Linked DNA regions of Drosophila melanogaster. The protein of the gene in region 1 purifies or fractionates together with the protein of each later gene. This does not show direct contact. Each region holds a gene or a part of one and is shown in the gene's direction. Other genes may lie near its edges. The genes, in order: Klp64D, Kap3, arm and Axn.

What was found.
Region 2: the proteins of Klp64D (region 1) and Kap3 purify together in Drosophila melanogaster (affinity purification with western blotting; 5 studies listed by BioGRID, with this or other methods). This does not show direct contact.
Region 3: the proteins of Klp64D (region 1) and arm purify together in Drosophila melanogaster (affinity purification with western blotting; one study listed by BioGRID). This does not show direct contact.
Region 4: the proteins of Klp64D (region 1) and Axn purify together in Drosophila melanogaster (affinity purification with western blotting, with the first as the bait; one study listed by BioGRID). This does not show direct contact.

Annotation. Positions count from the first base shown.
Region 1 is NT_037436.4:5,355,116-5,362,340, reverse strand, and holds Klp64D (Kinesin-like protein at 64D), read left to right. Parts: upstream 1-2,948; 5' UTR 2,949-3,086; coding exon 3,087-5,120; 3' UTR 5,121-5,477; downstream 5,478-7,225. Other genes in the region: Cyt-c1 (cytochrome c1), read right to left, coding at 11-238, 353-646, 716-848, 1,316-1,464, 1,602-1,649, 1,930-2,001.
Region 2 is NC_004354.4:11,332,642-11,342,491, reverse strand, and holds Kap3 (kinesin associated protein 3), read left to right. Parts: upstream 1-2,903; 5' UTR 2,904-2,964; coding exon 2,965-3,278; intron 3,279-3,667; coding exon of another isoform or gene 3,668-3,702; coding exon 3,703-3,820; intron 3,821-4,629; coding exon 4,630-4,795; intron 4,796-4,848; coding exon 4,849-5,163; intron 5,164-5,228; coding exon 5,229-5,365; intron 5,366-5,428; coding exon 5,429-5,617; intron 5,618-5,682; coding exon 5,683-7,158; intron 7,159-7,239; coding exon 7,240-7,496; intron 7,497-7,558; coding exon 7,559-7,703; 3' UTR 7,704-8,305; downstream 8,306-9,850. Other genes in the region: CG34348 (uncharacterized protein), read right to left, coding at 1,747-1,885, 1,995-2,040; Gapvd1 (GTPase activating protein and VPS9 domains 1), read right to left, coding at 8,964-9,104, 9,174-9,270, 9,346-9,850.
Region 3 is NC_004354.4:1,895,226-1,902,541, reverse strand, and holds the start of arm (armadillo), read left to right. Parts: upstream 1-1,895; 5' UTR 1,896-2,032; intron 2,033-2,368; exon of another isoform or gene 2,369-2,498; intron 2,499-2,931; exon of another isoform or gene 2,932-3,238; intron 3,239-3,502; 5' UTR 3,503-3,531; coding exon 3,532-3,562; intron 3,563-5,788; coding exon 5,789-7,316. Other genes in the region: CG32801 (uncharacterized protein), read left to right, coding at 80-390; Ldaf1 (lipid droplet assembly factor 1), read left to right, coding at 740-829, 928-1,105, 1,265-1,477, 1,529-1,776. UniProt on the Drosophila melanogaster protein: Isoform neural may associate with CadN and participate in the transmission of developmental information. Can associate with alpha-catenin.
Region 4 is NT_033777.3:30,019,614-30,027,010, forward strand, and holds the start of Axn (axin), read left to right. Parts: upstream 1-3,228; 5' UTR 3,229-4,227; intron 4,228-4,813; 5' UTR 4,814-5,009; intron 5,010-5,852; 5' UTR 5,853-5,926; intron 5,927-6,604; exon of another isoform or gene 6,605-7,259; intron 7,260-7,397. Other genes in the region: RpS28a (ribosomal protein S28a), read right to left, coding at 2,791-2,985.

The DNA of each region.
Region 1 (7,225 bases):
TTCAAACATTCTACTTCTCCTTGGGCACGAACACAATCTTCCGCGACTTGAGCGACGACCACTTGTGCCGCTTAATGTAATACGAGATGACGGTCAGGAAGCCAAGGATGCCAATCACCTTGATCAGCAGCTGCTTGCGATCGTCGTGCTCCGGCTCGGAAGTCCACTTCAGGAAAGTGGCCACGTCCTTGGCCAGCTGGCTCTGCGTCGGCGGTGTGCCGTCCTCGTACTCGATGACCTGGAAAGGGGATAATCATTAAAGATTGCAATCGTGTTCTCTTATATCGTTTTCAAATCATTAGTTTCTTTCTGAGAAGGAAAATATAGAACTAGTATTTGATCAGCCACCCACCTCGTTGTACAAAACCTGCGCCATGGAAATGGCACCGCCCGGGAAGTACGGGTTGAAGTACTGACCCTCGCGCAGCACCACTCCGGCAGGAGCATCATGGTAGCCCGTGAGCAGCGAGAAGATGTAATCCTCTCCGCCCTTGCGGGCCGACACGATGTAGCTCAGATCCGGAGGATAAGCACCGTTGTTGGCAGCACGGGCCGCCTCCTCGTTGGGATACGGCGATGGGAAGTAGTCCGACAGCTTGCCAGGACGAGTGTAGTAGTTGCCGGTATCATCGGGACCGTCCTTGACCTGTAACGGGGACATTCAAATCAATTAGGAAACATTTAGATCTAGAAATCTAAAAATTCGAATACCCACCGTGATCTGCTCGGCTTCAGCCTTAGCCTCGGCTTCGGTGTGGGTGACACCAACCAGATTGCGGTAGGCAATGTATTGCATCGAGTGGCAGGCGGAGCACACCTGCTTGTACACCTCGTAGCCGCGACGAACGCTGAAAGTAGGAATTGAGATGATGTTACTAACTGGATAGCAGGGTCAGTGGGCAAATGCCATCTTATATGCAGATACTACAAAACATTCTTTAATATCTTTAATTTTAACTAAAATCCCCATTTAACAATCCATTAATCTTCTATGTTCTGCTAGTTGCTGTTCTGATTAGCTTTTATGAGCAAAGTATTGTTGTTAATCTATAGTTGTTATCAGTTTTTAAAGATTACAGAAGATTTGCCGGGAAAATTGGCTACGTTTTCTAAATTGAATATGATATTTGTATTGGCGAGTTTGAGATAAAATAAAATACTTCAAACAAAATCTCTCTAATCATTAAAGAACTCTTTTTGAAATTTGACAGCAATCTAAACCAATTCACTAGAAATGCACTTAGTTAGCTCCACCACAGATGGAAATGCCCAGTTCCCGACCACTGATCAGTTTAACCGCCGTTTTTTGGATTACCTCTGGTGGTCCAAAGCGTCGAAGAGGCCCTTGTGGTTCCAGAGTTGCGCGGGGGAGTGCACCTCGCCGCCAGATGCCTGCACGGACTGCTCCAGGGCGTAGATAAGGGCGCCCACTCCGCCGGTGATTGCTCCCAAGGCGCCGATCAGCTGTTCGTGATGCACACACACGCACATACAGCCGCACACAGTCACCGAGAAGCAAACGCGTTTTGAGGTTAGGTCCGATCGGGTATTATGAAATGCGAAGTGGGGGAATATGTGAGATTCCTGACTAGCTGACTTACCTTCTTGTTGCCACTGGCCCAGCTGCCGGCGGAGGAGAGGTTCTTCGCCTGCAAAAAGAACGGATGTCATTTAGTTTGGATGTTCGGCCAAGGAGAGTAAGAATTTTTGCACGGAGTTACATAATTGGATTGTTCGGTTCGTATCCGAGTTCATTTAATCCCATTGGAATTGCGGATACCACTCACTGTGCCACCTAGAGTGCACCATTGGTCCTTGTATTTTATGTTTTACGGTATTATTTCATGTTTTTCTCCATCGGACACACGACTCCTTCAAGGTGCTGCGGTGGCTGTTGAAAAACTTGCATCCGCCGTTCACGATCTTTACCTGCTGCAGGCTGAGTGCTGGCGCGGATTTCAGCAATCTCAAGCCATGGAATCTTCGCAATGTCGCTGCCATGGTGGCCGGAGTTTTAATTTCTGCGTCGTCTGGTCGTTTAAGGAAACTCTGCGGGCAGCCAATCGCCAATCGAATCAATCTTTCAGTACCACTGCCACAACGTCTTCCTCTTCTTCGCTGCTCTCTCGCGGAGGTGGTGGTGGGCAACTCGCTCGTTTGCCAGCGAATCGGAATCGGCGGGGGCGATATTTTGGTATTTTTAAACAGATATTTTAATTTTATTTTATTATTATTTTTTTATTTACTGTATGATATTTATTTATAATATGATATTAATGTATGTATAATTTAAATAATACATTTAAAATATCACTTTTTATTTTTTTCTTTTTTAATAAATATTTGTTACACAGTGTACCTTAATTGCTTTTAGTGTTTTTTTTTTCTTTCATGTTCTTTATTATATCTTCGAATTTACGGTTTTCCAACTTGTTGATTCAAAATACTTCATAATCTAATTGGAACTACTTGTTGACATTAAGTTGGATTTTTTGATTTTTTAGAAACCACTTGATGATTTCATAAGATAAGTTGACAGAACAGCTCTAAAAACAGCTGCCTTAGCCTTAGCCAAATTTTTGGTTGCTGTTATGTAATTTTTCATGTTTCACTGCGCTGTTATCACAAAAAAAGATTTTAATTTTTATTATTGAATTCTTTTCGAAATATCTATAAAATTCTTAAAAGCCTTGAAAAAGGATTTTCAAAAAGTAAAAATAAGTACAATTATCGCAGTTCACAAAATAACCTTCGATTGCTTATATCACAGGTCAATATTATAATTTTATTTTTATTTTTGCTAATTGTTTTTATATATATATTATTTAAAAAAAAATATATAAAATTATTTTGTCTCACTGATGAATAGATTTTTCCGCTGGTCTGGCATCCTTCTCGCCCGTTTTTCGCACACTTATCGATAACAGCTGACCACCCGTTAATGATTCGCCAACAAAAAAAACCTAGCAACGCATAAACAAATGCGAGAAAAAACCCCCTTTATTGATTTCCACTAAGTGCGGTCAGCGCAAATAGTGGTTAATAGCTTTCACTAGACGAGGAATAAAGCCAGGACGTAGATCGCCATGCCGCAGGAGGAGGCAAATGCGGGAACAACGGCCCAACTCGATGACGAAATCGAGAATGTGCGTGTGGTGGTGCGAACGCGACCCATGGACAAAAATGAGTTGTCCGCGGGAGCGCTAAGTGCGATTTCGGTGGATAAGATCAACCGGGCCATTACGGTGATGAAACCGAATGCCACCGCCAATGAACCGCCGAAAACGTACTACTTCGACAATGTATTCGATGGTGGCTCCAATCAAATGGATCTCTATGTGGACACCGCTCGTCCGATTGTGGACAAGGTGCTGGAGGGCTATAATGGCACCATCTTGGCCTACGGACAAACGGGCACCGGCAAGACGTATACCATGTCGGGGAATCCGGATTCGCCGCAAACAAAGGGCATCATTCCGAATGCATTTGCGCACATCTTTGGTCACATTGCTAAGGCCAAGGAGAATCAGAAGTTCCTGGTGCGCGTCAGCTACATGGAGATCTATAACGAAGAGGTGCGGGATCTACTGGGCAAGGATGTGGGCAAGAGCCTGGAGGTCAAGGAGCGACCGGACATCGGTGTCTTTGTTAAGGATCTCAGTGGCTATGTGGTGCACAACGCCGATGATCTGGAGAACATCATGCGTTTGGGTAACAAAAATCGTGCCGTGGGAGCCACCAAAATGAACCAGGAGAGCTCCCGCTCCCATGCCATTTTCTCCATTACTGTGGAGAGAAGTGAGCTGGGCGAAGGTGATGTCCAGCACGTAAGGATGGGTAAACTACAGCTGGTGGATCTCGCCGGCTCCGAAAGGCAGTCGAAGACCCAGGCCAGTGGACAGAGACTTAAAGAGGCCACCAAGATTAATCTTTCGCTATCGGTGCTGGGAAATGTGATCAGTGCTTTGGTGGATGGAAAAAGCACCCACATACCGTATCGGAACTCCAAGTTAACTCGACTTCTGCAGGACTCCCTCGGTGGTAACTCCAAGACCGTCATGTGTGCCACCATTAGTCCAGCGGATAGCAATTATATGGAAACTATATCCACACTTCGCTATGCTAGTCGTGCTAAGAATATCCAAAATCGCATGCACATCAATGAGGAACCCAAGGATGCTTTGCTTCGTCACTTTCAGGAGGAGATTGCCCGACTTCGCAAGCAATTGGAGGAGGGCGACAGCTTGGAGGAGGAGCCACCGAGCTCCGAAGAGGAGGAGGATACAGCAGATGACGAACTGGAGGCACCACTGGAGATCGAATTGGAATCATCAACGATCCAGGCTGTGGAGAAAAAACCCAAGAAGAAGCGCGAGAAAACCGATGCCGAAAAGGAGGAACTGGCCAAGCGCAAAAACGAGCATCAGAAGGAAATCGAGCATGCTAAGACGGAGCAGGAAACACTTCGCAATAAACTAGTCTCATTGGAAGGTAAAATTCTCGTTGGCGGCGAGAATCTGCTGGAGAAAGCCCAGACGCAAGAGCTGCTGCTAGAGCAATCCATTGCGGAGCTGGAACAACATGAAAAGTCCGAGGAGGCGCTGAAGCAAACTCTACAGCAAAAGGCCACCGAAAGGATTGACATTGAGGAGCGTTACTCCACGCTTCAAGATGCCAGCACTGGCATTACCAAGAAGATACACCGGGTGATGCAGATGCTGATGGGCGTGAAATCGGAGCTGGCGGATCAGCAGCAGGAGCACCAGCGCGAAAAGGAGGGCATATACGAGAATATCAGGAGCCTATCCAGGGAATTGGCCTTATGTGAGCTGGTATTAAATTCCTATGTGCCCAAGGAGTACCAATCGATGATTAATCAGTATACGCACTGGAACGAGGACATCGGCGAGTGGCAGCTGAAGTGTGTGGCCTACACGGGTAACAATATGAGGAAACACATCTCGGCGCACAAGACGAGTGGCAAGGAGCCAGATTTCCTCGATCTCTCACATGTCTATCTCAGCTACAACACCGATGGCGTGTCCAATCCAATGCGCTCCAAATCCGCCAGGCCGCGAACCTCGGGTGTGCCCAGACCGACGACTGCCAGGCGATATTGAAGCTAGTGTTGGAAGGACAATCGACTGCTAGTCCAGCTGCATGTCCTCGGCGGTCTGCGCGTCCAATTTTGGTTTCTGCTCCTGCTAATCTTGATTTTCTACAGCCTCAGATTCATTTGCTCAGCGAATTTCCTTTTTGTTAGACCTTAGTTTTTGTTGATTTATTGCTTAGGACATACTTTTTAGGTTGAACAACGGTGCAATATATTTACTACTGTGTTTGTAATTTTACTTTCTAACTTATATTTATTTTATAATACTTACAACTAAGTAGTAACAAGATTTTACCCGATTAGGCACAAATATATAACTATTGTGTGCTCTTGGCTTTTAAATAAAAATATGATACTCACACGTAATTATTTTATATTCTTACTTCAAGGAATTATGCGTAATTTCTTTTTATTTTTTAGCAGCTTGAAAGCATGCTTTAAATTTTCCGGGCTTGCTGAAGAAAACTGAAATTTGGCCGACCTACTCATAACAGGTTCCATAGTGTAGCGGTTATCACGTCTGCTTTACACGCAGAAGGTCTCCGGTTCGATCCCGGATGGAACCACGTTGACAAAAGTATATATTTTTTTAAATTCATTATATGTTTATTAATTTTTATTACGACAGAAAACATAAATTCAAGTTTTTTATTCCCACAAAATACTAAATAATACTTAAGTAAAAACAACTGATTTTTGTGTATACTATGAACACGAAAGAATTATATATAACATATTATATACTTTTGTTTGCTAAAACTCCACTTAGTAAGCGTTTAAAAAAATAAAAATAAAAAAAAGTTACTTCCTCCTGGTTCCATCCGGGATCGAACCGGAGACCTTCTGCGTGTAAAGCAGACGTGATAACCGCTACACTATGGAACCAGATGCCAATCGCTTGACACAACGCAAACAAAGCACAGCGCCAAAAAAGGTTCTAAGGCAAAATGAAAAAAGTCAATCGTAAGGAATTTAAAAATCTGGGTTGCTGATAATTTAAAATTAAAATAAACCCAAGAATGTGAAAGCTTTAAGTCGAACGATAAATAAGAATGTCATAATTTAATAGTCCTTTCTTCTTTTTTTGATGTTCGTTTCGCTTAAATGCCGTCCGTTCAGGTGTTATTTCGATACCGGATTACTCATCCCACCTGCAGGGGATGCGATTGTTTGGGCAGGTAAGCCTGCGATAAGGAAAGCAAACTGTACTTTTATCCATTATTTATTTACCTTTGTGCGAATTTCTACGCCTGTCGCAGCTTAGATTTTAGGCTACCCAAATGAATCTGGCTGAAAGCATTTCCGCTTTATCAGTTTGCTCTTATCGCCGCACGTTTTGTTTGCCCATTTAGCTGCAGCTAGTTGCGAATTGGGGGGCGGAGCTCCACTCAGCGGACAGCGGTATCGCAGTAAGACGTCACGAATAACTGTTCAATTTACATATATTCACATTAAACCAATCTGCCAAGTGAAAAAGAGAATTGCGTTGCCAGGTGAAAGAAAAAGATCGGAGTGAAAAATCACCGAGAGCAAGGTAAAGTTACTCACTCCACTGGCAGCCAATTGAGTGGAAACAAATAACCGAAACACCAAGCTACAAGGAAATAGTAATCATGATCAATCATGAAGCTATCGGTTTTATTAGGACTTTTTTAGAAACTTGAATATCAGATAGCAGGTTCATTTTAATTTAGTATATATTTCTGTATAAAATAAACAAGATTCACATAGCATTTCATATAGACTATATATTAAATTCAACACCATATTCAAAATAAATGACTGTTTTGTTGTCGAGTGTAGTTGAGTGGTTGCTCTCGCACTTTCGGCGGACAGACCGAACCGAGCGATCGTAAAACTCTTCGGCCCCAGGCCCACAATATCAGTCTGTCCGCTGCGCATAGTCGAAACGGAAGGAAAATCGCTTTAATTCTCTGTGATCTGTGTTTGCGTGTTGAACTCGAGTTTTCAGTTCGTTGTTATCTGTTCAATTTCATTTGGATGTGCAATTGCCGACGCTAAAAATATATACGTAACGCGTGCAAGAAATTGAGAGTATTGCCCGACGCTCAACTAAATTACAAAAAAGAAATTTTATTTCATATATAAACG
Region 2 (9,850 bases), on another chromosome or scaffold:
TAAAAAAAAAGAGAGAACATCGTTTATGCATCGTCAAGTTTTTATCTCAGAACTTGTCCAAGTGGAGCGATTGAACCAGCGGCAAAAAGAGCTCCAACAGCTAATTGCATTCGATTCAATGTGGCTCCATAATTCCCGTGATTACGCCCCATATCCCCATGAGGAAAGAGCGGCAGAGGGGAGGGGGTGGTCCACTGATAGCCACCGGTACAGTAAAGCCTGTCGGTTCAACAATACAATGCCTGGCGTGTTTTGGTTTCTAATCGAATCGTACTCACAAAAAGAAGGGCATTTTTCACTGCGTATAACATAGCTAGTATAGTAAAATTGGGCACTACAAATTGTATCTTTGCACTAGTTTAGCTTAAAATAATAATAATAATATATATTATACTTCTTTTTCATGCACGAATGTTTTAAATAAGCAAATTATCATAAAAATATTTCTCTTATAAAATGTATCCATTGAGAACATATAGAAATGTGTATATACATATATTATATGATTGTAATGCATTTTTTAAGCCCAAGTTCGTCATAAAATATAATCTTGTTTGAGCAACGAATTAGCGTCGTGAAATCATGTACTAAATTCCTAACCAAACAGAAGTCGAATATATGTACATATGTATTTATTAGCCCTCTTGAACTTGGAACTGATATCGAAATCGAGCTAATGCAACGACTTTTCTCCGTGTGCAGCCAGCCCGTGAGCTGCAGAATTCGCTGGCCAATTTAGTTCTAGCCATTAGGGCTTCGCGGCTAATTAGCATGGCCAACCGGTTGGGCATTAGAGAGTTGGAAATGTAGAATAAATAGAAGCACGCCAACACAGGCCAGTTCAAGTATATATTTGAGTATATATACATACATATATGTATATTTATAAGCCGAGTAAAAGTTGGCCGAGTCGATCACCTGCCGTTCGACTTGGCTTTTCATTTTCAGTATCGGTGCAATGGTCGAGGGTGTAATGTTCTTCAGGGGTCAGTGTAGTCAGTGCAGCCCAACTTGGCTATATTCCAACTATATATACTATCTAGATGAATATAATTCAAATATATTACTATCTGGTACACATATCAATCCTTTTTTTTAGATCGATAACAGCAGTTTTTACAACTGAAATCTAAGAACTCAAGTAATTGCTTTAGTTTCAAAAACTTTTTCGAGCTAGAAACACATGTAGATTATGCTTATCGTATTAATTTACTTAATTTGCAGAAAACGATCAATTATTGCTGAGCACTTTTTTTAATGCCCATAATTTCGATGATTCAACACATATTCACGGTTTGTCAAAATGTTAATTTCAGCGTTTTGGGAAACAGCTGCATCATAAGTTCCCTTAAAAACAGTGAAAACTAAGTTTATTGGACTATATTACGTTTTCTGTTTGCCTTATAGAGTGTCCACTGTATTCCCGTGCTTTGTTTTATCTAGCTTTTTTTGTTGGCAACACTGGCTGCCCAACTCTCTCCCACTCTACGCCCCTTCCTTACAACGCCATCTCTTTTTATGTTCCCTTTTAATTACAGGTGCAGAGCGGGACGGAAGACGCCGGCCAAAGGGGGAAGGGGTGCGTGGTAAGGGTGAGTGGGGGAAACTTGGCTCCAAAAGTGCGCGATCAGCATGAGAGAGTTCATTAACAGTTGCAATTGAGCCCGCGAAGCACACTGTAATTGTTGTAATTCCAATTTCCCACCCAACTTATACGCAGCTTTCCAACATTTCCATTTCGCTTACCTGTGCAGCTTGTAGATGAATAGCACCAGGAACGAAATGTAGATGAGGGCCACGAAGACCAGCGGCAGCAGAAAGGTGACAATCAGGGGGGTGAGGAAGCGATATAGCCATAGCGAATAGTCCAGATCGATGTAGGAGGCTAGAATCACAAGGTATGCAGTTGGTGGAGGGGCATTTGTTATGTATGTATGTATGTACATAGGTCAGCGGTGCGCCTTATCGGGCGCCAAATATTCGATATTACTCACACAACAGGGAGTGCAGCGTTTTGTACAGGTTCTCCAGAAATTCCATTGTCAGGCGCTGCTCCACCTCATTTGTTGTTCTTGCGCGAAAAGAGAAGCGACCGCCCACCACAACAAAAACACAAAAAAAAACGGTAGAAAAAAGAAGGGAAAATACGACAGAACAAAAAAAAAAAAAAAAAAAACAAATCGGTTTGGCCTGATTTTGTACACTTTCTTCGGCTCGCTTTGCGCTTTTCGAATTCTTTTCGCTTCCTCCTGCTTGGCGATTCTTTTAAATGGTCATCGTATAGTGCGTTTCATTTGAATCAGTATTTAGTATTTGCGCGGCTTGAAATGCATTTTATTTGCATGTTATTTGCTATTGTTATTGTTATTGTCAGTCGAGACTGTTTGCTGGTTTGTTTGTTGTGATTTTCCTAGCACAATGTAAACAATTCGCGGCGCTGCGCTCCACTCGGCTCACACGCAGTAGAGACAACCGACACCGTTCGCAGTCAGAAACATTGTGATCGCGCCGCGCTTTTTTTTGGTTAATAATACTACAAAGTAGCGATTCTTTTATTGTTGTTCCTTCATTCCATTTCGTTTGCTTTTCTGTTGCTCATCTACGTTCTTTGCACCTGGCAACGCCGGCCCAGCTGTTCTGGCTGCAGTCGTTGCCAGACTTTGGTTCTTGGCACCCAGAACAGAACAGTGATGCTCTCTTGGCTAATCACACCTGTTTCTAGCCGGTCAAGGAAGTTCGAGGAAAAACAAAGTTGTTAGTATACTGCATATTATGAATGGCAAGTTCCCAATTAGAATACAACCGCCAACTTGAATTTGAACATTCGCTTATTGGTTTGTATCGATTGAGTGCTATCGGTAATTGCCGGGTGCCGTGGCACCATCGATAGTACCGCCAGTGAGCAGACAGTTGTGCCAGCACTAGCACTTATCGACATTAAATCGGAAGTCGCATTGCAATCGCATGCAATTTGTTTTGTTATTAATTTTCCAAATAATCTCGGGCCTGGTGCTGCTGCCAATTGTGATTCACTACGTCTATTACATAATAAATGCGATTGCCGGCGATCTGTGCGAGCAGAAGAGAGCGCAAAGAGAGCAGCAGCTGCAAAGGAGCCCCACTCCGCGCCACCAAAACCGCCACCCCCCGCATCCGCCACCCACCGAAGAGGAGCCTGTGCTTTCCATAAACAATTTGACAAATTCTAGTCGCTCTCCGACAGCAGCAGCAACAACAACTGCAATGCAAACAAACGATGACGCCAAGTTTATAAAAAAGTGCGTATGTATGGGATTAGATCGTGCGTGCGTGCGTGTGTGTGTTTGTTTGTTTTCATGTGTGGGTGTACAAGTGGCCGAAGAACAAAAGAAATAGCTAAAGCACTCGTCATGCGTCAGAAAGAGAGCCACAATCACCTGGCGCTCTCTATTGATTTTCCACTTTGCGTTCACGCTTCCTCCTTTTGTTTTTTGTTATTTGCAACCGTTAATCGTTATTCGTTATTCGTTGGGTTCTTAACTTTTTTGTTCGTTTTATTAAAACAAAAGCACAAGTTAAGCCAGGCTCAAAAAAAGAATTGGATTGAAAAATCTATTACCTCATTACGCATTGAACCGCATAATTTATGATTGATCCAACAATTTGTCTCGCTCTCAATCCAAAACAAATGCAACGACAACAACAAACAAACAAACAACGAAGGAGGTGGAAAGGCGGATCCATTGAACCGCATCCCACGGATAAGGCGCTGATTGTCAACTACCAACTGGAGGCCACCGTCTTCGGGGAGCCCAACAATCCGATGATCGAGGAAAAGAAGGTAAGAACGCACGGTTACACATCGCTGCACTGGGAGAAAATGCTAGTAGATATTAGAAAATTAAAATAGGACCAGCATTATTGGTATCAAAGATGTTGATAGGGAAAGAATATAATAACAACAATATGCGAACATCTGTAACTTAGTTCTTAACTATGTTAGGTTCATAAAAAAAAAGGAAACAAAGTTGATCCTTAATCGAATAGGTTGAAAAATTGATCTAGATGTGTACACATACATATATTGCTTATTAGTTTAAATACTAGCAGTCATTGTTCTACAAAAACATCCGAATGAGTACTTAAAAAAGCTACTTCTGTTTCTTCCGGTGTGCCCCGAAAAGGGTTAAGGGGCGGGGGGCAGAAGCTGACATTGAGCGGCCCAATCGATAGCGCAACAACAACGGGGTCGATGACGGCCTGCGCTCCAAGTAGTGAGTGAAAAATGTAAAACCACAGCAACAAAAAAAAAAAGATACCCAAAAGCGGTTGGTTGGCCGGGTCTTTAACCTCAATTCACGTTTTTTGGCCGAGCGACAAGCTTATTTTTCGCCGATTGTTCACGACCATAAATATGTACTACATAAGTAAGTCTCTTATGTTTTGCTCTTGGCCATAAATATTGGCGACCAAAAAAGTTTTCAGCTTAGATGCGAAGTGGTTAATTGCCCTGAAGTGGTCCTAAACTAGTTCCTCAATCCTAATAATTACTCTATGTTTATAAATAGCAAAATAACAGCAAAAACAATTAGCCTAATAGTACATTATTTCAGTCGTTAACTAATGCATGTATTGTATTTAATCGCCCAGCACTGTCAAAAAATCATACGACTCCGTTCGCTGAACGCCAAAACGGATCCGGCTGCCTTGGCACGAGAAGTGGTGGAGAAGTGCGATCTCATCCACAAGTCCCAGCTTAATGACGTCGAGCAGATAATCTTTTATCTGAAGAATCGCAAGGATAATGCAAGCAATGGTAAGCAGTTAGATTGTTAGCAGAAATCCATACTAACACTCAGTACCCATTAGATATACCGGATAACAACACTCACAGCCGGCGATCGGCGGCGCTGCACACTTCGCACACCCGCTCCTCTGCTCGATCGCACAGCAGTGTGGCGGCCATGACCAGCAGCACCGGCAGCGGCGGAGGATCCACTGGAGCTAGCAATGGTGTCTCGAATGCCCTGAGTGCCGCCACGCCCACGGCGGATGTGTCCATAAACAATATCGATGAGTATGTGGAGCTGCTGTACGAGGAGCTGGGCGAACGCATTCGAGGCTCGGCCATGATCCTACAGATGGCGCGAAATCCCGATAATCTTGAAGAGCTGGAAAAGAATGGTAAGGATAAGTTTGCAGTTCTGTAGTTTTGAACCCAAACCCAATGTACTATTTCATCATTTTAGAAGCCTGCCTCAGCGCCTTGTCACGTGTTCTGCGCGAGGACTGGCGCAAATCCCTGGATCTCTCCACCAACATAATCTACATATTCTTCTGCTTTTCCACATACACCAAGTTTCATCCGCTCATTGTGCAATATAAGGTGGGAATAGAGTTTCTTAATTAAGTTCTAAGCACTCATTTAATCGTTGTTAATCTATTTCAGATTGGATCGCTGTGCATGGATGTGATTGACTATGAGCTGCGTCGCTACGAGACAATGAGAAATGAGCTGGACGTGCGCAAACAGCCCAATGGATCATCCACTCCACATTCGGCAAAGGCCAGCAAGGAGAAGCTGAACCGCAGCACCGACGATTTCCTGGACATCATGAACGAGGAGAAGCCCAAGGAGGTAATTTTATTTCTATAAGTTCTTGAAAAACATATCTATCGAATACTCAACAAATTCACTTTCAGATGGAGCCGCCGCGTCGTCGCATTCCGGAGCTAAAACAGCGTCCCAAGTCGGGCAATTGGAGCAGCTTTCACGGCTCCATGTCATCGTCGCTGATCAAGAGTCAGATCCTGAATAGCAGCTATCACGAGTCCCTTTGCGCCGGCGGTTCACCTGGCGGCGATACTCCGGCTGTGCCCGCTGAACAGAAGGCCCAAAGCAACGAGTCGCTGGACAGGAATGATCCCAAAGTGAAGAAGGAGGAGATCGATCGGCTGAACAAGCAGCTTAAGATCTTTGCCAAAAAGCAGGAGCAACTGTTGCGCGTGGCCTTCTACCTGCTGCTGAACATGGCCGAGAATGTTAAGCTGGAGGAGAAGATGCGCCGCAAGCATATCGTTAAGATGTTGGTCAAGGCGCTGGATAGGCAGAATATCGATCTACTCATGCTCGTCAGCACGTTCCTCAAGAAGCTATCGATTGTGGGCGACAACAAGGACGAGATGGGCGCTTTGAACATTGTGGCCAAGTTGCCACGATTGTTCCAGAGCACGCACACGGATCTGGTGCAGGTCACCTTGAAGCTGGTCTTCAATCTCTCCTTCGACGGCGGACTGCGTCGCAAGATGATCGCCGCCGGCTATCTGCCCATGCTGGTGATGTTCATCAACGATGAGAAGCATCACGGCATTGCTGTGAAAATACTGTACCACATGAGCTTGGATGACAAAGTGAAGGGCATGTTCACGCAAACGGAGTGCGTGCAAATGGCCACGGATGCCATAATCCTAAACCTCAATGTTAAAGTCGATTTGGATCTCATTGCCTTGTGCATTAATCTCTCGCTAAATCGCCGTAATGCCCAGATTATGGTGGAGGGCCAAAGATTGCATAGCCTAATGGATCGGGCCTTCAAGTACCAGGATGCCTTGCTGATGAAGCTGCTGCGCAACTTGTCGCAGCACGAGTCCCTGCAGCTGCAGTTCATCGACTATGTGGGAGATCTGGCGCGCATTTTGACCATCTGCGATGACGAGGCCTTCATAGTCGAGTGCCTCGGCATTTTGGGTAACCTGGCCCTCACCGATTTGGATTACTCGCAGATCTTGCAGAACTTCCAACTGATTCCATGGATTAGACAGATACTGCTGCCGTGCGCCAGAATGGACGACCTTGTGCTGGACACCATTGTTTACTTGGGCACCTGTGCCTGCGACGAGTTGTGTGCCCTGCTCTTCTGCCGCGCCAAAGTGGTTATATCCCTGATCGAGTTGCTTAAAGCGAAGCAGGAGGATGACGAGATTGTGCTGCAGATCATCTTTGTGTTTCAGCAAATCCTGCGACACGAAAGCACCAGGGAGTACATGATCAAAGAGACGGAATCGGCGGCCTATCTCATCGATCTGATGCACGACAAGAACGAGGAGATCCGCAAGGTGTGCGACTATTGCTTGGACATTATTGCCATAAGCGACAGCGAGTGGGCCAAGCGCATCAAGGTGAGTTGCTTGCCAGTCCAAATATGGCATATCTTAGTACAAACTTGTTTGTGTTTTCTTGTTCTCGTTGTTACATGGCAGCTGGAGAAGTTCCGCAACCACAATTCGCAGTGGCTGTGCATGGTGGAGTCGCAGCAGGACCAGGACAATGAGCAGGACTACGCCGATCAGGAGGACGAGTGCGACAATGATCTGGACACGTATCTGCGCTCCGAGTACTTGGACAATTGCGATCTCTACAACGACAATGCCGACAATGACAGCAATAGCAACAGCAACCATAGCAACAACAATCCGGCCAGCCCGGCCATGTCCACCTACAGCAGGCCACTGAGCACGTGAGTTTTGACCAAGTTTCCACTTCGATTCGAGTAATTAAGTGATAAATCACATGGTACAGCTATCGCCGCAGCCAGGATCTCGATGATTTGTACAACATGACCTCCAGTTCCAAGTCGCAGGGCTCCAGCGACAACAACTACATATTCAAGTCGAACAAATCCCTGGATGCCGATGGTCTGCACGAGGAGCTGCTGATGGCTTAAATGAGGAGAAAGGTCCTAACCCGAATCGATTGAATTTGAATTAAGATGCTTCTGCCGATTGCCCGCCCTCCCGTGTACATGTTTAGTCACTCTGCCTATTAACGACCTTCTGCTTGGATTTATTGGATATTTATATATATATATATATGTATACATATATACGACACCTTTCACGCTTGTTAGTCAAAGACGTTAAATGATTTTAGCGACGCGGCAACTTTGTACTCAAGACATTCAAAATGAGCAACGGCGCACAGACACTGGTTAGTTTAAGTTTGGTTACTTACTTATTGGTATGGTATTTTTTTGTTTGTTATTTATTAATATTTAATTTATTGAGGTCTTGTTTAAGTGCGATGTATGGCTTAGCTTCCACTTTGGTTGTTCGCAACGCAATTACTGTGCAATAATCTCTCACTTAAAGTATTACGTCGAACGTTTTTAGTTGTACTTGTTTTAGTTTACCGAACCTAAACTTTTCGTTTTCTCGAATATCTTACGAACAAAAGTCAAATTGTAATATTAAACAGTGGGCGACAAATGAAACGCCGACATAATGAAACGCCGAAGAATATAAACAAAGCTAATGTAAATGTTCACCTAGTTCGTATTGTTTTCTTTGGTTTTGTTGGCTGTTCAAAAAAAAAAAAAAAAAAGGGGTGAGTACTTTTCCCATTCCGCAGAGCTGTTTGTCTCGCCATTAAAATGCAACAATTTGAAATAATATTGGCTTTTAATTTTGTGTTACACAATAAGGAATATTAAGTTGCAGTTCGTTTCCGAAACATACTTATGACAGTGGCTAGACCGATCCGATAAACATGCATATATCTAGGTATGTATGTATGGTACGTGTATATATAAATAGAAGAATATGCTCTCTAGTTCACTTTATATATATATATATATATATATATATATATCGTGGATATCCGTAAGGCGAGGCCTTCTAGCGTTCAATGTTAAGCTTAACCTAGATATCTCCACTTCAGCTTCAGCATCGGCATCTCCCACTGATTGGTGTTCCGTTTCCACTTCGATTTGACTTGGATCGCTTCGCACATCTGCCGCAGTTTTTGCACTTAGACTATGGTTTTAACAAATTTTTACACAAATATCAGACACAGACATACATATACATATATAAATATGGAAAATATCGACTGGAGGAGAGAGTGGGATGGGAGATTGGTGTAATGCCTACAACAAAGCGATAAAGAAATCTACAGATACATCCGCCTAAGCCCTTAACAAATATCGCTAGTCTAGATAGTCCATGGTCTTGATGAACTTGACCACGGATCCGAAGAGCGTCCAATAGAACTCGTCCTCGCCCTCCAGCTTTTTGCCCAGAAAGCAGCTGATATACTCCACGGTGGATAGCAGATACGGGGGATTGGCCTGCGCATACGTCGAAAATGATTAGTTAATTACTAGCAACCGCCGAATGGTTCACCATTAATGACTCACCATTATCACTACGTATATGAGCACGGGCAGCAGATCATCGGCTGCGGGCACCCGACCACTGGACATGCGCAGCAGGCTCATGATGCTCGAGATGCAGCTAAAGTTTTGTGCGATACGATAGTTTGTATGTTAGGCAATGATATACCAAAGGGAAACTTCACACATGACTCACTTGATGATGCACTGCAGCTTCTCGCGTGGCGTCTTGTAGGCGGCCATGTGGCACAGCTGTTGCTGGGCAAACGTCCACGGAGCCTCGCCCAAATACTCCTGGGCGATGCACAGCGCCGGGTGGGCGGGATGTACAAAGCGCTGCAGTTTACCAATATGCGCCGAGAGCACCTCGTCCCGCGACACATCGGCATCCTCGTTGGGGAACATCACCTGCTCGTACATCTGCTCCAGCAGCATTCGCTCGATGGCCACGCGTGCAGCATCCACCTGCCACTCGTCCTGTAGATCGGCACTGGAGCGCAGCTCCTGCAGCAGGGACTCCACAAATTCCTCGGTGAGCTCGACGCGTTCGTCGCTGGCCCGCAGCTGGGCGAACTCCGCTTGAAACTGCTCCAGCTTCTCCTGCTGACGGGACCAAGCCAGATACATCCGGACCAGTGCTTGCAGCAGACATCTCTGGCTGCTGCGCGCCTCGCCACGCAATCGCGCCTCCAGCTGCTCCA
Region 3 (7,316 bases), on another chromosome or scaffold:
AAACTTTAATCATTGAAAGTTTTACAATAGTTTACAAAATTGTTCACTACTGCTAATAATATCTTCTCCTGCCTTCCAGTTCATCCGCTAACACGGAAGTTCTACGCCCAGTATGAGCAACGCCAGCCGACGGATACCTTGAGGTACCTACGGCACACTTGGCCTGAGAAGCATGTGGAGCGTCAGAGGCAGCTCGGAAAAGCTGTTCCGCTCCTGGAGTCGCAGGTGTACGGCTGGTTGCCGCTCAAAAGTGGAGAGCGAGCCGCCGATCTGAACTTTCTGCATGCCAAGAAGGTGCGCTGCGGCATGACTGTTCACGGGGAGCGCTTGGTGGCGGAGAGGATTACGGCGCGTCCTCCGTTTAACGGACTCAGATTCCTGCTTCACTAATCCTACGGCGAAGAAATGTCGCACGCTGACCGCCATTATAAATTTATAATTTTTTTTTTAACATAGTGTTAATTTTTTTTTTGTAAACAAATTAATTATGATTAAAAAGCAAAACTAAGCCACGCTAGATCATTATTAAGAAACGCATCTTGTCTAATTCAAATTTAGTAAAAAAAAAGGTGGCAGCTCTCCCTCGATGATTTAGTTTCAGGGCTACGACGTCGATTATTTTTTGTTTATTTATATTGTTTTCATTTACTGTTGCTTCAAGCAGGCGAATGAACCTGGAACAGACTCCTCCTGTAATGCGCACAGCAACCGCCTGAGATTCTCGCAGTAGCCACGCAACATGGTGGGTACGGGTGTGAGTGAAGTGGGTGTTCCGGCATCTTCGGAAGAATCCGTAGATTTCGGCTGGAATCGGCATCGCAAGTCAAAGGTCGCGTTTCACGGACTCAGTGGCAGCCGGCATCTAATCACTTGGGTTCTTTGACTCACATAATATTCATAACTGATTTGATTTGATCGACTCTGCAGGCTCACTCGAACAAGGCTCGCAAAGCAGCCAAAGAGGCAAACGCCAAGAAGTCTGCGGGATCGGGAACAGAGAGCAAACCGGAGCACGTAAAGATACATGGCCCAGGCGATCGTAGTGCAGGAGTTCTGACTGGCGACCAGTTCCTGGAGAGCTTGCTCCAGACTCTCTACAGGTCATGTATGTCCACTAGTTGAAGTACTATCTGTAAAAGCGCTTAATTGCTTACTGCCACAATTAGTTACTTATATATGTACTACTCTGTACGGTTGTTAACCTGTTTTATGCATCACACCGCGTAACAAAAGTTGCCTTTGTTATAACGTTGCCATATTGCAGGGCTTCAAATCTGCCGCCTGGCAGATTTTGTGATGTCCGAGCTAGGTGGAAATGATTTCCTGGAGGCCACCGCGGCCTGGTGCACCCGGAATCCGCACGTTGCTATCTGCCTGCTAGCTGGTGGTCTTGTATTCATGCTGCCCTTCCTTATAATATTTGGGTTTGGAATAGCCACCATGGTTATGACCTTTACAGGTTTGCTGGTGCTAGAAGGTGCGTTCCGTAGTGTTTACCAGAGATCACGTTCTTATCGACTCGTTTTAGGCACACTCCTGACCATTGTGTCCATGGTGTTCTTCGCCTGCCTGGGAGGACTAGTCATAATGGTACCTCTCTTCGGTGTCGCCGCTGTTGCTGCCTATTTCGGATTTGCCCAGGTGTATGGCCTATGTGATGGAATAGAGATCCATAAGAGCGCGTGGGTCATGTTCTTTAGGGATCAACGGAAGGCCGGCGATCCGCCGCCAGCTGCTGTGACCATAACCGATGAACCCACTTCTACGACTGCATAAACCAATATTGCTTGCCCAACTTAAATATGTATTAAGAAATTAAAGACCAGTGTTTGAATACTTTTGGAAATTTAAAAAGTGCGCTTTCTATTTTGAAGCAAGTTGGCAGCCACCTGCGATAGAGGAGTTATCGGTTATCTGTTCTGCGCTCATATACACAGTTTTCATAGTCGGGGATTTTTGTCGAATTTAAATATCTAAGTGCGTCAAAAGTGCGTTAACCTGCCTTTGAGCAGATAAATTTACTTTCGAAGCGGTAAGTAATAGTAAAGTCATAGATATTTCTTTAATTCGTCGCCCAAAAACAATAGTTTTTGGTCGTACCTGTGTTGTCATACACCCTCATGTACACTCAGGTGCTTGTGTTGGTAAATGTTTATACAAGATAAACGGTGAGTTCGAGATAACATGATAACATGAACTAGAAATAAATTCGCCTTAGCTAAATTATAAATATTGTGAATTGAGTTTCTTAAGGATGAAATGCTATACAAATTTCGTGAGATTTTTGTGTTCTCAGAACAAAAAAAATTTGAAAAATTCCTTTGGCCTATCGCACAGGGCCCATCGAGTTATCGGGACAGCAGCAGGCCATCGCTAGTTGGGTTTCGTCGCCATATACACAGTTTTTCTCGAGCAGACAATTCGCTGTTATTTTGTTTCTTATAGCGTTTTAAATAAATAAATCCTGCTCTAAAGCAGACTTAAATTCCTTGGACGCGGTGAGTACTGTTAGTCGGTAGTGAATCCGTTTGGAAAGCCAAAGTTTCTGTGTGCCATGAAAGTTGGAAAGCCATGGCAAACAAGTCGGCGCGGGGGTGGGCAGGGGTTCGCTGGATGTGCGCCTGTGTATGTGTGTGTGTATGATCTGGATACACACAAACGGCATTTTTATGTATTCCTCCCCCGTAAATCGGGCGCTTGTTTTGTTGCTCGCTGGAATGTAAACAATGCCACAGACAGGAAATCGTTTTCTTCGAATCTAGAGGCAGGCTTATCGTTAGGTGTTTTATCTAATCGACAACTGAAATGGAGTTGGGATTCTTTCTGAGCTGCCTACGCGAGTATGTGTGTGTAGGCACAATCGTTTGGATGTGTGGCAACTCTGCGCAGCACTGCATTTGTATGCTGCACTGCCGCGGCCCTTTACTTTCTCTCCCAGTCTCTTTCCCTGTCCCTTTCCCGCACTCCGCACGCGCGGTGTTGCAAGTGCCTTGCTTTGCTTGCGCTCTCCGCATCTGGATTCTGTTCCGTTTAAACGAGCGTGCTGGTCGGTCGCATTTTCCGCTGCGCCTTTTTCGAGAGAAGTGAAAAATCCATTTTGTTTTTTGTTGGAGTGCATGAGATTTGAAAGAGTGCTAAACAAAGTAATTAAATAACTCAAGGTTCGTGGCCAAAGTCTTCGGCAGGTAGACACACACATACCCACAAATACCCGTTCTACCTGCGTAAGAATGTATTAGTGCGTTTGTTTGTATACGCAGCATATTTCATATTATGCTTCGGCATCTCAAAGCGGAAATGAGTTAAAAAAAAAGACCAACGACTAGAATAAGTGACTAACGGACGATATCTGCGTCTGTTGGCAGTCTGCAAACACAACAAGCCCTTCTTTCCGGGGCCCCCATTTAGTGGAGTTCCGTGGTCTCCATCCGAAGCACACACGAACTCCATGTTATTGACTGTCCAGCACATTACTCATATACTCTCCGTCTCTTTCTTGCAGGTGTGGTGTAAAGCGCCTCAATCACCAAGATGAGTTACATGCCAGCCCAGAATCGAACCAGTAAGTATTTCCAGCAGCGGTACTCTTCCCTTTCCCATCTTCCAGGGAGTATGCAAAGAGCATCAAAGTTAACTGTGTATCAGAGTGTTCCACTTTGGGCTTTTGTATACCCAGTCCAAATGCAGTTGTATACAGGATCCGATTTCATCAAATTAGAGATGATATTGCGTTTCAATGGACGCAATTAAGTCATGGTAGCTCTAGAGTTTAGAACATTTAGGATAAATAGTCAGAATACATGGCCCTATGAAGGGGATGCAACAGCGCATTGTATCTGTGAAACAATTATCCCCGTATCGCAATACAATAACAACCCCTCTCCAACGTTAAATGAGGGAGCGATGCTTGTTTTTGACAAATTTGGCAAATTTGACATAAAGTATTTGCTTTTGTCATTTGTTTCTGATATTCCCTTTGTGGGTTGTCTGCAGAATACAGGGTAACAACTATATCCATCCACCCCAGACAAATAATTTGTGTACATCTACATACTTGTAATGCTTGATGATCTTTTTTTTGTTGGGCCATCAACCACCAGCGGCCTGTGCTTATATCCGATTCATCAAAAAAAAAAGCGCTCCCTTCTACTTCGGAGTTTGAAATTTACACTTTTCCGCTGACGCAGTAAACGGAGTAGGAAAGAAGATTTCTTTTTGACACTTGATTTGCAGAGCGCGTTGGTGAGGCTCTCAGAGGCGCAGGAGAGGACTTCACCAAAGGGGAGGAGCTCGTTAATGCATGTTGGCTTCATTGAACTCCCATCACTTTTGCCACAGAAAGTCGAGGAATGTCAATATCTAGGACGACAGTAGTGAACAGTTCATAGCCATTTAGGAAGTGGCCTTTTAATTCGACCACTATTAAGTATTTAGTTTAGTTTTCAACTAATTGCTGTACAACCCCGAAACCCCCTTGAGTAGGCCGCTGCTCACTATCCTTTGAAACTCCATTCCCTCCCCATGCTATCCACTTACGCACACACACATTCAAGGACTCGTGTACTTGCACGTGGCACTCCAACCCACGCCACCCTTTTGCCATCGCTCCTTGGTCTTCTCCGGGGACCTTGTTCTCGTACCCCGTCTCCCGAACTCGCAGTCGAGTTGGCTGCACATTTTTCTTGGCTTCTGCCTTTGCTTTTTTCTGGCGCTGCTGCTGTGCAGAATTTAATTAGTAAGCGGCAACATGCAATTAAAGGCTCCGCCCGCGCCCTCCATCCCAACACAGTACTCCATTCAAGTGCGTGGCCCACTCGACGGATATGGCGAAGAAAAAACGCTTAATCGATTTGGGAAATGAAACGAAAAGCGATTACAGTATTACAGTCGCATGTGCTTATAGCGAACAAAATTCATCAGCTGTGGGCTAAACCATTTTGTTGAACTCAGAGACCACATTTGGAGACCTGGTCCATAGGTTACCAGCATGTTTCAATGCTGCTTTTTATGGAGTCATTTATATTCAGCACCGTGTTCGATCTATTGAGATTTGACTGTAGTATTGCAGAGTGGATGGCGAAGAGCAGTGAAGTTTGTAATTACGAATGCATACAGAAGGGGCGTGGCCGTGCTGTGTCCGCGCATAAGTAAAACAACAAAGGCAAAAAGCTGGGCCTGGAACGGCATAATTAAGACTGAAGTGGCAAACAAAACGCCCACAAATCCTTTTGCCAGTACCCTCTCATGTGTGAGCATCTGACCCCCTGCACCAAACCCATTCCGCCCAGCGCCCTGAACTTTCTGGGAATATCCTGCAGCGTTCAATTTGTCACGCTTCAAAGTTTTCCTTTTGCATTTTTTGCGCCGGCTGTTGGGATGCTGCTCACTTTGCTGTCAGTCGCTGTCGTTTCCCATTTGGCCATCTTTTAACGAAAGCGCATGCAAATGGGTTGCAGAGGGTTAAAGCGTGTGCATCCCCGCACCCGAATTCGTTGCATTATATGTAGATGGTGGGCTGCACTCAGTATTCCGTTCTACTCTGTCGTTTTTCCACTTCAAAAGGTTTTAAAAAAGAAAAGTTACCATGAATGTGTAGACAGATGTTAACAAGTTAAAGAAGAGCATACAAAAATTATTCTTACACTTCATTTCTGCTTCTTTGGGGTCTTATAACACGATTAAGTTGCAATGGAAATGATCGAAACACATCGGTGATTCGAGTTAGAAAAGTTGGAGTGTATATTTTTGTCAATTCACTCTAAAACGTTTTGCAATCAATCTTTTGCAGTGTCGCATAATAATCAATACAATCCACCTGATCTGCCGCCGATGGTATCCGCCAAGGAGCAGACCCTCATGTGGCAGCAGAATTCGTACTTGGGCGACTCCGGCATCCACTCGGGTGCCGTGACCCAGGTTCCATCGCTGTCTGGCAAGGAGGACGAGGAGATGGAGGGAGATCCACTTATGTTCGACCTGGACACCGGTTTCCCGCAGAATTTCACACAAGACCAAGTGGACGATATGAACCAGCAACTGAGCCAGACACGCTCCCAACGTGTACGTGCTGCCATGTTTCCGGAAACCCTGGAGGAGGGCATTGAGATTCCCTCCACCCAGTTTGATCCCCAACAGCCGACGGCAGTGCAACGTCTTTCGGAACCGTCACAAATGCTAAAGCACGCGGTGGTCAATCTGATCAACTACCAGGACGACGCTGAGCTGGCAACCAGGGCCATACCCGAGTTGATCAAGCTGCTGAACGATGAGGATCAGGTGGTAGTTTCCCAGGCCGCCATGATGGTCCACCAGCTGTCTAAGAAGGAGGCCTCGCGACATGCCATTATGAACAGCCCTCAGATGGTAGCCGCTTTGGTGCGTGCCATCTCTAACAGCAACGATCTGGAGAGCACCAAGGCAGCGGTAGGAACACTGCACAACTTATCACACCATCGCCAGGGTCTGCTGGCCATCTTCAAGAGTGGCGGCATCCCGGCACTCGTCAAGTTGCTCTCCTCGCCAGTGGAGAGTGTGCTGTTCTATGCAATTACCACTCTGCACAATTTGCTGCTCCACCAGGATGGCTCTAAGATGGCTGTGCGCCTGGCCGGCGGGCTTCAGAAGATGGTTACTCTGCTGCAACGAAACAACGTTAAGTTTCTGGCTATCGTCACAGATTGCTTGCAAATTCTGGCCTATGGTAACCAGGAGAGCAAGTTAATAATTCTTGCCTCCGGAGGGCCCAACGAACTCGTGCGCATTATGCGCTCCTACGACTACGAGAAGCTTCTGTGGACCACTTCGCGGGTACTGAAAGTGCTCTCCGTTTGCTCCAGCAACAAGCCGGCCATCGTGGATGCCGGTGGAATGCAGGCGCTGGCTATGCACTTGGGTAACATGTCACCGCGCCTTGTGCAAAACTGTTTGTGGACGCTCCGCAATCTTTCGGATGCAGCCACTAAGGTGGAGGGCCTTGAAGCTTTGCTCCAATCTCTCGTCCAGGTTCTGGGCTCGACCGATGTCAACGTGGTCACCTGTGCCGCCGGTATCCTTTCAAATCTGACGTGCAACAATCAGCGCAACAAGGCCACCGTTTGTCAGGTGGGCGGTGTGGACGCCCTCGTCCGTACTATTATCAATGCTGGAGATCGCGAAGAGATTACCGAGCCGGCTGTATGTGCCCTGCGTCACTTGACCTCGCGTCATGTGGACTCTGAGTTGGCCCAGAATGCCGTACGCTTAAACTACGGACTATCGGTGATTGTAAAGCTATTGCATCCACCATCACGCTGGCCCTTGATCAAGGCCGTCATTGG
Region 4 (7,397 bases), on another chromosome or scaffold:
GTCGCTCCTCGCTTCCTCGGATTCGAGTAACTGCTGGCTCTTCACTGGGTGAGCGCCTTCATCTCGTCATCTGGAATTAGTTGAGCTATTGATAGTACGTACATTCCTACGATTCGAATGCTTTCATAGATGATAACCTTCTATACAGAAGCATACTACCACAATAAAACTTTCGCTTTGTTTGTGAAGGAATCCAACATAATTTAGAAGTAAGTTTAAGATGGAATATCTTTTATATAGGCTGGCTGTTGGGCTGTTGGGCCCTGTCTCCGATGAGATCAGTTTCTCCAGAGCGGACAATGGAGCTCGGCATGGGAATGCTAATCAGAAGGGTAACGAGTGGGATCCGTGCTTGGGCACTGGGCACTTGGAACTGGGCACTTGAGTTTAATTAGCGTCGGAGGCTCACAGCTCGCCAGATGAATGGCGATGTGTGGACATGGCGGGTCGGAGTGGAGGAGCACATGGACGTCGCGTGGAGGCGAGAGAGCCTGCCGAGTGGGCGGAACGCGTCTGAAATCTCAATTCTGAAATCACAAATCCGCGGCCTCGCGTCAATTGGCGTAAAAATAGATTCGTCGGCGGGCGGCTCAGCGAAATTTCACAAGTGGAACGCCTTTGCCTCGAGGAAGCGCAATTGTGTGGCAGAATCGGGAAAGAACTAGATAATACCCACTATAGCAACTAGCCACTAGTCACTAGAATCATGCAACATCACAGCAAGTTTGCTGTGATGTTTTTGGGGGCGTTTTTGGATGCAATCGCAGTGACCCATTTGGAGCTGTGCTGTAATCATCTTATAGAGTTAAGAGATGATTCCACCAACCATGAGTAACGTGCGAGACTTCTATACAACATAAACGTGCCTGTGTATGTACTTTTTCATATTTACACATATGAAGCGCACTTTATTCTGAGGAGAATAATGAAATTAGCTCATATCAGCGATGTTGTTCAAGGTCGAAACTAAGTAATAAGCTACATACAAGTATGTATCTGTATAAACATTAAAAATTCCCCCGAGCCTTAACTACTCACATGAGGAACCAAAAACGATATTTGAAAATGAGGCACTGCAAATAATATGTATGTAGTTTTTACAGCTTTTCCGCGAAACCTAACTAGTTTGCTTTGGAGTCACGTTGCCGCCAGTTGAAAGCAGTTTCGATTCACAAGTGGACATTCCAGAACCAAGTCACATGCGAAGTTCCCTGGAATGTGCTATTACGAATGAGATGTGATACTATACTGACTGCGAATCCAAGCCAGTGGAAGAGTGGAGTTCCCGATCTCAGGACTCTCACTCCGGCGGAATAGCTAATCACGCCCCTTTGTGCCAGGGGCCACTAATTACCATGTTTCCTGGTAACGTCAATCTGACGCACTTAAGTGCGGAAAATCAATGAACATTAATGACCCGGTCCCTTTATTAATAAATTGTAAGTGGGCCAATTGACTGACGACTGAACGCGACTTTGAAATTCAGGCAATGAAAGGTCTAGGAATAGCAGTACACTGTGCGGAGTTTCGAATACCACTTAGAAAGTGATTTTGAAGTTGGAAAACCGAATGAAATATTCACCATTTAAGCTAGTTTCTATGAATAAATGAGCGCTTGCAGCAACAGATAAAAGTTCATTGACTTTGATTTATTTATGAATGAAATATTCATAATGCATAGGCTTTTTAATTAGAATAATAACATTAAATCGCAGGCAGTAATTTCTTCCGGTGTAGGAACCACCTCTATTCGCAAATGCAAGCACTTTTTTTTTGGGTGTGTCGGGGGGCGGTGGGAGGTGGGCGGTGGCAGGGGGCGTGGAACGAACAGGTATTTTCGGTTTAGTTGTTACGAAATAAGTGGCGAAAATTGACGTGCCGAAAGCGAAGGCAAAAAACCAAAACAAACAAACACGAAAACTCAGGCAAATGCGCCGTACGCTTTGCATTGTTTTTTCGCCCACTTTTTATGGATCGAATTTAACGACAATCTTTGGCCTTTTGTTGCTTTAATTGCCCTAGCTGTCCGCACTCACCTTTGCTGGACTTTTCGCGCAGTGCAGCTGCCTCGAAGGAGCCCAATGCCTGCATTATTTCGCGGTCGCCACTTTCCTTGCGGTCAATCGATTTTTCAGAGCGCCCCGAAAAGTCCAAGTGCAGCAGTGTAACGAATTCGCAGCTTTCGTTCGCTTTTCCGTGCATTTCGGAATTTGCACTAATTGGTAGGATTCCCCGGGGAATCGAATCCGTCACTTTTAATCCTGTTTGCTGTTCTTTTCGCACTCGCTTTTGTTTTTGCAATGCAGGCTCCTGCACTTGCGGTACACACACATACCAGCAGCTGCTACGGCCGCCGCTGCACACACACACACGCACAGCGGGCAAACGGGCATCTCTCTAGCTCTACCCGTCTCGCTTCAACCCACTGCCGCGCGCATTTTCACATTTCCCGCATTTGTTGCTACTTCGCTTGATTTATTCGGCGTTCATCTGGGCGTTCCGTTTTCACTTTCGCCTGGCTGGGGCAACAACAAGCTCGCGATCGAGTATCTCAGCTCGGCCGTCCGCTGCGAACGAGTATCTGAGTAGCTGAGTAACTGAGTATCTGAGCGTGAGTATCTGTATCCGAGTGTCTCGCGGAATCGGAATCAACACAAACAGCTGTTAGGGCTGCGATGGCAAGAATCGATAGCTTAGCGATAGGAAATCGATAGTTTGGGATTTAAAAATTGAACAAACAAAATCGTTTATTAACTTGATTTGGGAAATCAAACAGGTGTAATTCATACATCAGCGCAGTCTCCTGGCCTCGCGTTCAGTTTCCAGCAGCGACAGGATGTCGCCCACGCGAACAGGTCCTTTGACATTCCGAATAATCTGGCGGCTTTGGTCGCCGAGGAACTCCACCCGCACCTGGGTGCACTGCCCTTGGGATCCAGTGCGTCCAAGGATCTCGACCACGCGAGCGTACTGAGGCTTGTCCATGCTGAATACGAAATTCGAGAATTGTTCGACAATAAAAGATTTGAATTTGAAGCTGTGAGTGCTGCTGCCTTTCCAGTCGATGAAAATAGAAAACCTATCTACCCTTCTATCATCCCTGGCGCCACCTGTAGGCCTTGTAGCGCAACATAAGTGCGGACGCGAACCACAAGGTGACCCCAAGTCGAGCTGCCACCTTTCGCAGTGTTGGCAATCCAGTTGGCATCCCCGAGGCGAGCTATCGAACCAGTTCGATTTCGAACCACGCAACTCTAGCATGTAATCGTTCGTCTCGCCGTCTAACATTTGTGTCGAACTACATTTTGTTTTGCCATTCAATAAATCTATTATTTACCACTGAATAAGCGGCGCCACGGAGCCCTAAAAGAGTGTGCGCGTTCCGGAGACTCGGCGCACAGCGGCCCGCAGCGATACGTCCATGAAAATCGAACGGCAACAGCAGCAGCACCCACAACCAGCGGAGGCAACAGCAACAAAATACACAAAATAAAGAAGCAGCAGACGGAAAAGTGCACAAATGGTGCAGAACTGAGTGGAAAGGCCACCGAGCACAGATTTCTCACAGTGCAGGAGCCCGGAGACGCCGAAATGCTCTAGAGGGCGGCGCTTCAGCACGATTTTCTCCCCGCGGAGAGCCCAAAGTTGCCAGCGGACGAGGATGACTGCTCCTGGCGAAGCATTAAGTTAAGAGACATACAGCCATTGTTTACAGCAGGCAGCTCAGACACCGGGATAGGATAGGATAGGATATGCCCTCGGGCCAGCCCACTTGAGTTGAGGAGAGCAGAGGAGAGGATCGGGATCCGTGCGCGAGGAGAGGATCTGCAGCCTTGTTTAGCATTTAGTCCGGTCATCGTGCCAGCGCCTTGTTAACCACACTCTCTTGTTTACGTTTGCTTGTTTGTTGAACTCCACAAATCGTCCTTCCATTAATTGTTAGTCACGCGTCCCTCTCGTTGAGCACACTAATCAAAATGAAAGCATCCTCGTCGATATCGAAATTGAAGTTGAAATTGAAATCGAAATTGAAAGCTAAGTTGCAATTGAAATCGAAGCGTCCAGCCGTTAAAGCTACAATCAAATTACACCCGTCCAAACCCACCTCGTCATCGCCATTGCCATCGTCACCGCCATCGAAGATTGGAGCCAGGGCCGTCAGGACTGCGCCAGGATCAGTCGTCTGCCATCCCAATTGAGTGAAGCCGAGGATACACGAATCTAAGGGTGAGTACTGCTCTTGGAATTCCCATGCACAATCCATAACTAATGCTATTACTTTCTTACGCAGTTTGTGGATTATTGGATTTGCACAACTTACTTAAGGACTAATATTAATACTTTAAGAAAGGCACAACATAAGTCTGATTAATGATCTAGTTGTATCAAGGGAAATGATTGGAATTAGACAATTTATTCACGTCTAACTAATATCTCAAATATTAATAGTAATTTGAATGATCCTTTGTAAGAAATGTGAGCATATATTTTGCAATAATAGTAACTTTATGAAATGTATATTTCATTAAATCGAAGGATGATACCTGATCATTGAAAAAGTCATTTAGAACGCCATGCAAATTCTAATCATCCAACTAAAATATTGCTCAATTAATTAGTTTGCAGCACATTTAATTTATTTCTGAGGTGTATGTGCCAATGGGATCCCATAGAAACTGTATATATCTTTTAACTTCATTAACAAATCAATTAATTAACAAAACAGTAAAACATAATTATATTATCATCCTGCATTCATATCCATAATATACAATGTTACCTATTTAACAATTTACACATCCTCTTCTTTCAGGTACTGAATGTACTGCATCAACTGTAATATAAGCTACGTAAATAGGAATTTATGCGAATAAGAGTAATTAAGTGAAGCGTGTAGTTAAACATTTCTACAAACCGGACATAAAAAGATTCAACCATCTTAAAGGACTTGCAGCGCTATGGATTGATATGTTCTCAAGCGTTGGCCATTTCTCACTTGAGTTTAATCGGTTAGTGTTCTATCACCCTTTATATTCAAAGCATTCTTTAGATTTATTTAGGCGTTTATTGGATGCACCCGTGCGCGAAATATTTTCTCCCCCACAAATCCAATATGTATGGCTTATTGAAAAAAAGGAGGCACTTGGGTGGTTGCTACTGATTGATTTAAAGTTCGCTGTGTTGAAAACTAATTCGATTTGGGCTCTGAAATGTAAATTTATTTAAGCTGAGCCAAAAATAATATTTATACAATTTTATCTCTATTAAAATACCTTCCAATTTTATCTTTGATGCAATATTTATGACTGGCATATAAAAAAGTTTTTTTGTTTAATTTATTTATGGTATTTGTATTATGTTTTGGTTTGAATGATTATTTATGAGATGCACGAGACTAAAGATTTTTCTTAAAATTATTTTCATTGTTTTGGACTTACTTTCTTGGCGAACAAAAATATACCCAATGGCCAAATCTCTTTTCTCCCAATTGATAATTGATAATATCCTTATGTATAAAGCTTGCCTATTATATATACATATTTTATATACATTTATTTATATATATGTATATTTAAAACAGAGTAAAAGTGTTCATAATTTTTTTAACTATCCCATAATGCTTGGTAAGGCTAGAAACATTAGTCTTCAGATAAAACTTTAACTTTAACATATAACATAAATTTATACCAAATGGATAACAATGGCTCTAATCTTTTTTTTTTCCAAACTCTTAACTATATGTTTACAACCTTAGTCTTTCGAACAAATATTTTAGTATTATATATTGTCTTAGCTTATTTCAAAATGATTTCAATTGATCTAATCTTTTCTTCATTTCACTATTCTTTCAGGAACAACTGGAACCATTCGGAATACCAATATCTTCCCCTGATTTCATGTTGAATTTTTTATGCAAATTACATATGTGAGTATACAACTTATTTTTACTTTGTCAATGGTTTTGAAGTTTAAGACAACTACGATTGCATGCGAGAATCTCAGAAATATAAACTAGTATGAAAAACTGATTTACATTGATATACTTAGGTCCTTTTCCATTTCTCGAAACCTAATAATCATGACATCCTGAAGGGTTTTAATAAATCCTTTTTAATTGGTTATTATTCGGAAACTACCTTTTCACTCAATTGAAAAATCCTCTTAGTGCAATAAGGATACCATGATTTCACTATTGTTTATTGGGCTGCAGCACTCTGATTAAGGAATTGAATAAGTTTCCGTTGTCTCGGAGAGGAGCAACAGTTGACCGCGCCCAAGTGCATCCTTCGGGTCCTTCGGTGTCCTTGTAATGGGCGTTGCACCTGAAAAGTAGGCGCTTCCGCGCTGAACTTTTCCGCCTGTGCTGGCAACTTTTGCCGCGCACAAAGTGCCACTATTGACCTTCGGCAATACTCGCAGCCGCAGTGAGTAGTGCCCGTGTTTCCCCCAGTTTGCCGGGCCAGACCATGCCGGCGTGGAGTCTAGACCGCCATCAGACGCCGTTCATCGGGCGGTTGGTTGAGCAATGGCGGTCTTAACCTCATTAGAAACAAACGAGGCTGCCGCCGGTCGCTCCTCCCTTCGTATTGTTTTCAAACTTATTCGAAAATAATTTCCACATTTGTGTTTAGGGGAGGAATCGGACTCCGGAGGTGGGTCTTCCATCTCAACCCTTGCCCCACCCCTCGGCTTTCAGGAAGGACTACAATGCGAACCCAACTCCGCTGCTCTGTTTATGTACAATAAGAACGGGCGGGCGTCTGGTCCTTCCTTTGCCTTGCCACTCTGGCAGTGGGCCAGGATTTGGTCTGGGCTTGGGCAGCAGGGCATAGAATGGGGGGACCAGGGTCTGGGGACTCAATCTGGACCTGCGCATATTGGTTGCACACAATGACTCCTATTCGCCTGCTGCCGTCTCGCTTGCTCCGCCGCAACCACGGACACTCTGAAAAGAACATCCTTTGTGTGCTGTTGTACAATGTACATGGAGCATCATCATGTTGGAGGTCGTCCCAGCACCGCCACTCGCACTCCTGCTCCTCCGCAGGGCAGTCCATCAACAGCTGGTCGGGATATTCAAGGGGCAGTAGTCCTCCACTAAGAAAAAATCCTCGAAATGGTTGTATTCGTTCTTAAAACACAAACATGTATAGTGAGTTTCAGAATCAAAGTGCAGTCCAGTACAGAAAGCTTAAGTTTGTTTGAGGGTCTCAGATTGTTCAATTGCTCGTAAATAAACTATTTTTAAGTGATAAAGCAACTTTTAAGCTGTATACATTCGTAACTAGCTTACCAAAAAGTAAGCCATTGTTCGTTTTTCAGTTTTACAAGTTGCGATATAGATACAATCTGGCTTATAGAACTCAAGAGCTCTAATCGTTGATTGATAATGGTGA